2 linked regions of the Oryctolagus cuniculus genome follow. The protein of the gene in region 2 purifies or fractionates together with the protein of the main gene of each other region. This does not show direct contact. Links are inferred from orthologs where the notes say so. Each region holds a gene or a part of one and is shown on either strand. Other genes may lie near its edges.

Region 1 (3,746 bases), on a different chromosome or scaffold from region 2:
AATTAACCCCTTTAGATGGTTTTCCCAATTTGTGATTTTGTACATGTATCCTGTATATATCCTTAAGCAAATATCTGCCTTGTGGGGCCAACAATGTGCTGTAGCTGGCTAAGCCTCTGTCTAAGGTGCTGGCATTCCATATGGGCACAGATTCTAGTCCCAGCCATTCCTCTTCCGACCCAGCTCTCTGCTATGGCCTGGGAAAGCAGTAGAAGAGGGCCCGAGTGCTTGAGAGACCTGGAAGAAGCTCCTGGCTCTTGGCTTTGGATCAGCCTAGCTGCGGCCATTTGGAGAGTGAACCAGCAGATGGAAGATATTTCTCTCTGTAACTCTACCTCCCTTAAAAAAAAAATCTGCCTTGTGTTTCAATTGTAAAGTTTCAAGAAATAATGAGATATTGTGAAACTGTCTGTTAGCAGGGGAGTGAGCAATAATTTCCATTCTGCCAAATTCCCGCTTCACTGACTGGCAGGCCCAAGAAGCTCCCGCACAGAGCCTGACTACCATGATATGCAGTGGGAAAAAGAGACCCTCGACCATACCATGGAGGAGTGGTGGCCAGTGTGGATGTGGTTGGTCAAAACTCTGGCCAGGTTTGTGTTATCTTCCTGATTAAGGGGCAGCAGGAAAGCCGGAAGACCCAGATACGCCCCAAAATTCAGCTCCTGTAACATGGCCTGGAATGGAGAACGGGAGGAAAATGTTAAGAGCTAACCTCCAAATAGCTTTCATTGCATTCTGTTAGTTGATTTTGTAACTGATGGAAGGGAAAAACGCTCTCCCACCCAGCTCGGGTACAGAGGTCATCTTTAGAACGCTCCAGGAGAGGTCAAACACTGTCTTACCGCCTCCGAGTTCCTGCGGATCTTCTCCACTCTCGAGTCTGGACGGATCCATGGAGAGAGCTTTCCCACAATTAGCGTATTCCAGTCTGCACTCCCCCACCCGGGAAAGACAAAAACTGAATGAGGTTCAGTACTGTACTGGTTCAATTTCTAGTTCTTGGTAGGGAACAGAAAATAGAGATGAGAGACAAAGGCATTTTCCACCACAGACATGGGATAGTCTGATGCAGAATAGGCAACTAAGGCTTTTAGCAAATAAGCAAGGAGAAAACGAGAATTCCCTAGATCCCAGGGGCTATCCAATATATCCAAGTCAGAAAAGGAGGAGAACGAGGGCTCTGATAAAGCAGAGGTTGTTACTGCTGCTAACAATTAAGGGGCATATGGGATGGTCCCTACCCCTTCCTGACAGCAGTAGGTCTGATCGTGTCTGGGGGCCCGGCCGATTCTTAGCAGGTTCCTGAGTGAACTCCCTCTTGAACCGCGGGTGGAAGACAGGCATGCAGAGGAAATCAAACCTACAACCGCGACAGACCCAGAATCATCATGTAAAGAGAGCCAAGCACTGCACTTAGGCTACCTCAACTGCGCACAGCCCTTTCAGATGCCACCAGTCACCGCGCTGGCTCCTGGTTGCAGCCCATCCTGGGACATACCACTTCCCTGCACCGTGCCTCAATTTCTCCCCCAAAACACAGGCAGGGAAAAGATGAGTAAGGGAAAACGACGGAAATCCACGCCAAGTAGCATTCTCTCTACTCTGGGGTCACTGGCTTTCCAGGACTGTGATGTTCAGAGCTGCCCCAGGGCTACCTACACCTACCCTCCCTGCACATGAACCTCCTCTCGCCTTTGCCCCCAACACTTCCCCCTACTCCCGCATACTCATTTTACCCCCGGAGCCCTAGGGGATTGGCTGTATGCCCCCTTTTTGTATCCCCGACAACTCCCCCGACTTCTGGACTAAGAGGCCACACGACTCCCCTAACTTTCCACCCGCCGGGCCGAAGCTGCTCCTCTCAGGAGTAATGGGGTTTCTCACGCCCTCGTCCCATCCGGCCCCTTCACCCCTGCCTCTCGGGGATGACTAGCCTGCCCTTTTCCGTCCTCGAGTTCGGACCCTGCATTCCGCCCGCGAAGGTCTGGCCCTCACCCCTGCTTGGCCACAGCCCCCAGTGTGTCAGCTATTTCGGGGACGCAATTGAGGTCCCTCCCGCTGGACACGCGGCTCCCACCGGCAGCCCCGACCGCCATCGCCGCCATCTTTCCCTCGCGCTCTCCACGCCGGGATTCCTTGATATTAGCAACCAATCACACGCTGAACCAGGCCCCGAGAAGGCGGGACGAGTCGCCTTAACAACCAGAGCGTCCTCCACAGCTCCGGAGCAAGAGACGGAGGGGTGGAGAGTGACTCTTCCCGCCAATCCGCGGGCTGCACCGTGACGTACGGCGTGGCTCCTGCAGATCTACCAATCTCAGGGTCTGGTTCGTGACGAACCCGAATCTCCCAGAATGCTTTGTGCAGCCGCCGAATGCCGCCGAGGGACTACACGTCCCATGAAACCCTGCATTGTAAGCTTGAAGAATCATTACAGAGCCCAGCGCGATTGTCTCAGGGCCAGTGGCGCAATGGATAACGCGTCTGACTACGGATCAGAAGATTCCAGGTTCGACTCCTGGCTGGCTCGTTGGGACTGGTACTCCTTTATTGCATCACCTTCCCCAGAAATTGTGGTTTCCGTTTTCCTTCCTTCACTGTTGAAAGCTTTACTTCTTTCCACCCTCTCACTTTTCAGGTCCCAAGTTACTTGGGTCCTACAGCCATCTTTACTTAACCTTTTCCGTCACCTCTTTCAAATGTGTTCCTTGTGTCATTGCTTAGACCCAACTAAACTGGGTTAATGGCTGGGGTTCTGTTTAAACAAGATTTGTCCCCTTACTATGTTAACCTTTTTAAATAGATTGTGATAACTGACAGTGTTTAATAGTGCTTGTGTCTCAAACACAAAAAGGTGTAAATCAACACCTAAGCGCACACTCACAGCCCCTCGAGGTAGAGAAAACCAATTCTTAGTGAGAGATTGCAGTGGACGGGAATCATGGAAATGCATTTTCCCTTTACAGGAGAGAGACGGGAAAAAAGAAAGGAATGAAGCAAGGAAAGACGGAGAGAGGGAAATGGAGACCCCTGAAGGCAGGGAGCCCACAGGTTCAGCACTGAGGGCTGGAGAGGTGATCGCAGCACGAGAACCCTACGCAGGGGGCGTTAACAGAATTTGGGGTCCGCTTGTTAGGCGGGTGATAGCCCAGGGTTCTGTCAGTCCTTGCGGTTCGTAGAGAATCGGGGTTTGGGTCTGGACGTGCTGAAGTGGATGTCTAGGGGGCGCTGTGTAACAGAGCTGGGTGAACCGTGGTCTGAACCGAATAGGATCTGGAGCCCGCCGGAAGAACGGTAGCTAACGAAGCCCTGAGAGTGATGAGCTGACCGTAGCCGGTGCGGATCAGAGGCCTGGGAAACCCGGAAAGGGAGCAGGAGGGGATGAGCCCCACGAGTCCTGGGTGCGACTTAAGTGCCCCCAACGGATGAGAGTCAGAAAAGCAAAGCGCCAAGAAAATGCACCATGAAGCCTGAAGGGGTTGGAGATGCTGTGTCTTCTATTATTATTGTTATTATTACCAGACTTTTTGTGTACTTCTGGATCCCATATTACATTTAATTGTCACATCTCTCTAGATTCCTCTTGGCTGTAGCAGTTTCTCAGCTGTTTCTTGTCTCTGATGATCTTGATAGTTTGATGGTATTGGCCAGATAGACTATACAATGCTCCTCTACTGGAATCTGATGTTATGGGTTTGGGGAGGTCATGGAGGCCGAATATCATTTCCTCATTTCATCAAGGG
Region 2 (2,823 bases):
TGGGGCGTGGGCGTGGCCGCCGGGGGGTGGGGCTTCTCTGGCAGAACGACGGGGGGGGGGGGGGGGGGAGTTTGGGGTTTCTGGGATGCCGCCCCGGGCCGCACAGTCCCTGGCACGCTTGCCTTTCAGCTTCCCCTGTCGCTGCTGAAGACGGCGCAGAACCACCCCATGGTGAGTGTGCGGGGGCCCTCCCGCCCTCCCGTGCGCAGCCCTGCGCCCGCAGCAGCCGGGAGCTCCCTCCAGTCCCCCGCGTGGGTGGGGGGTGGGCGGCAGGGGGCGCAGGGACTTGGGCTGGGGTGCGCACGCGCGGGAGGTGGTCCACGGGCCTCGCGGGGTCGCAGGGCCAAGCCGGGCCCCCCGGGCGTCTACACCTGCGGCCCCGACTCCCGGCAGCTGGTGGAGCTGAAGAACGGGGAGACGTACAACGGGCACCTGGTCAGCTGCGACAACTGGATGAACATCAACCTGCGGGAGGTGATCTGCACGTCCAGGGTGAGGCCCGCGCCGCCCCGCCCCCCTGCTGCCCCGCCCCGTGGGCGTCACCCGGCCAGCAGGAGGAGGGCAGTGCCCCCACCGCCGGGACCTACCGGGTGATGTGGGAGGGGCGGGGCGGCTCCCCAGGACCCACTGAGGGCCTCCCCCCGGGCTGTGAGCCCCTGCAGACCCCGGGGTGGCCGCCAGGCCTGGGCTGCCCCGCCTCCCGGTGGGAGGTGCTGGGTCAGACCCCGGGGTGGGGTGGGGTGGGGTGGGAGGGACCCGGCGCCTCCCCAGGGTTGGCTCAGCCCCCGGGCCCTGCTTCCAGATCCCCGGCGCCCGCGGGGAGGAGTGACGTCCCGGCCTGTCCTTGGCCACTGTGGAGCCAGCGTGGCGCTGGAGCTGGGCCCCATGGGACCGCCCTACTTGTGTCTGGCTGGCCTTGGGGTCCCCACTGGGAGCCCGCCCTCAGCGGCCTCGGCCGGCGACGCCCACCCAGCCGCCCGGGGAGCAGCTGACCGGAGGGGGGGTTCTGGCCGGGAACAGCGCCTGCAGGCACCGTGCGGGGCTGGTGGCCAGGGCGGGGCCGGTCCCGAGCTGTGTGGACCTTGTCCCTGTGCAGGGGCCCGGGCGGGGGTGTGGCCGGGAAGTGCCAGGATTGCATCTGTGGGACAGGGGCACACAGGGCTGTGGGGTGGGGGCGGGGCGTGCTGGGGGTGCCCCTCTCGGCCCACGGCACCGGTCACTGCCCCGCTGGGCCGTGGCTCCGTCGGTGCCCTGCTCAGGCCCAGAGACAGCTCTAGAAGGGGGGCTGTGGGCAGGGGGAGTGGGGGGTGGGAGAGACCCAAGCAGCCTCACTGGGGGCGGGGCTTCCTGGCTGCCCAGGGGCCAGACAGGCCCTGCGCGGGGGGGGGGGGGGGGGGCGCCCGGGGGGGGGGCGCCCCCCAGCCTCGGCCCTGGCCGCAGCTCAGGGACCCTCCGCCGGGCCGGGCGTTGACGCGCTGCCTCCGGCCCAGGACGGGGACAAGTTCTGGCGGATGCCCGAGTGCTACATCCGCGGCAGCACCATCAAGTACCTGCGCATCCCGGACGAGATCATCGACATGGTCAAGGAGGAGGTGGTGGCCAAGGGCCGCGGGCGCGGGGGCCTGCAGCAGCAGAAACAGCAGAAGGGCCGCGGCCTGGGCGGCGCCGGGCGAGGTGCGGGCAGGGCTGGGCGGGGCGGGGGAGGTGCGGGCGGGGGGGGGGGAGCGGTGCTCCCCTAGGCCCTCAAGCCCTGGTCCTGGCCAGTGGCGGAGCCCCTGTCCTCCCTGGGCCCTTGTCCCGGCCCCCGCCGCACAGCTGGGGAAGCTGAGGCCAAGCCGCCTCTGTCCGTCCCTGCAGGTGTGTTTGGCGGCCGGGGCCGAGGCGGGATCCCAGGCACTGGCCGAGGCCAGCCAGAGAAGAAGCCGGGCCGGCAGGCGGGCAAGCAGTGAGCCGCGCCCCCCGAGACCGAAGCCCTGCCCCGCTGCGGGACCCTCTCCTTCCGGCCGGGCCGCCTCGCCCCCCCCCCCAGTGTGGACACCTGTGTGGTGGTGTTGGTTTTGTGAAGCCCCCGCCCCGAGGCCGGCCCGGCTCCGTGGATAGCTCCGTGGATAGCCCGGCCTGCACCTGCTGGCACGGCCCAGGGCCGGCCCCTCCCGCACGGCGACAGGCCCGCGGGGGCCGTAGTGTCGCCTTCCAGACGGAGTGGACGGGGCCGGCCCATGCGCCTTTGCTTCCATTTCTCTGTGTTCTGAAAATAAAGCCCAGTCCAGCCTCAAGGCCCCTCGGCTTGCGTCCGCCCTGCAGCCCTTGGGCCCCAGGAGACCACATCTGGGGGCCCCGACCCGGCCTGGGGGCTCCACAGGGGCTGGGGGGGTCTCCCGAGCTCCTGGCCCGGCTTGTCCTGCGGCCCCTCCCGTCTTGATAGAGAGTCGGGGAGGGGGCACCCTGGCTGGAGCCACTGTCCGGCCCGCTGCCCCCTCTCTGTTTTCCCACCAGGTGTCACCTTGGTGATCGCCCCCCAACCTCAGGGGGGGCAGGGGTTCCGGTCACGGCCGGGGGGGGGTGACGCAGGGGAGGCCTGGGTCCCCGCTTGGGCGTTCTCCGGTCACGGCCGGCCGAGGCCCGTCTGGAGGGGCGACAGCATTGGAGGGACGTAAGTGCAGCCCCCACGGCTTGGGGCTCCCGGCTCTGCGGCCCACAGCTCCGTGGTGGCGGCGTCTTAGGGGCCGGCGCCGTGGCTCAGCGGGTGAAGCTCCGCCTCGACCCCCCAGGACCGCTGGTTCCAGTCCCGGCTGCTCCCAGCCAACGCACCTGCCATCCTCG

Evidence for each region.
Region 1: the proteins of LSM4 (region 2) and PRMT5 purify together in Homo sapiens (co-immunoprecipitation; 3 studies listed by BioGRID and IntAct, with this or other methods). This does not show direct contact. The link is inferred for Oryctolagus cuniculus from reciprocal best matches to the Homo sapiens genes LSM4 and PRMT5.

Annotation. Positions count from the first base shown.
Region 1 is NC_091443.1:52,081,921-52,085,666, reverse strand, and holds the start of PRMT5 (protein arginine N-methyltransferase 5), read right to left. Parts: upstream 2,318-3,746; 5' UTR 2,109-2,317; coding exon 1,999-2,108; intron 1,973-1,998; coding exon of another isoform or gene 1,914-1,972; intron 1,364-1,913; coding exon 1,245-1,363; intron 932-1,244; coding exon 846-931; intron 678-845; coding exon 543-677; intron 1-542. UniProt on the Homo sapiens protein: Arginine methyltransferase that can both catalyze the formation of omega-N monomethylarginine (MMA) and symmetrical dimethylarginine (sDMA), with a preference for the formation of MMA.
Region 2 is NC_091447.1:65,592,589-65,595,411, reverse strand, and holds the end of LSM4 (U6 snRNA-associated Sm-like protein LSm4), read left to right. Parts: intron 1-129; coding exon 130-171; intron 172-393; coding exon 394-492; intron 493-1,490; coding exon 1,491-1,674; intron 1,675-1,857; coding exon 1,858-1,949; 3' UTR 1,950-2,276; downstream 2,277-2,823. UniProt on the Homo sapiens protein: Plays a role in pre-mRNA splicing as component of the U4/U6-U5 tri-snRNP complex that is involved in spliceosome assembly, and as component of the precatalytic spliceosome (spliceosome B complex).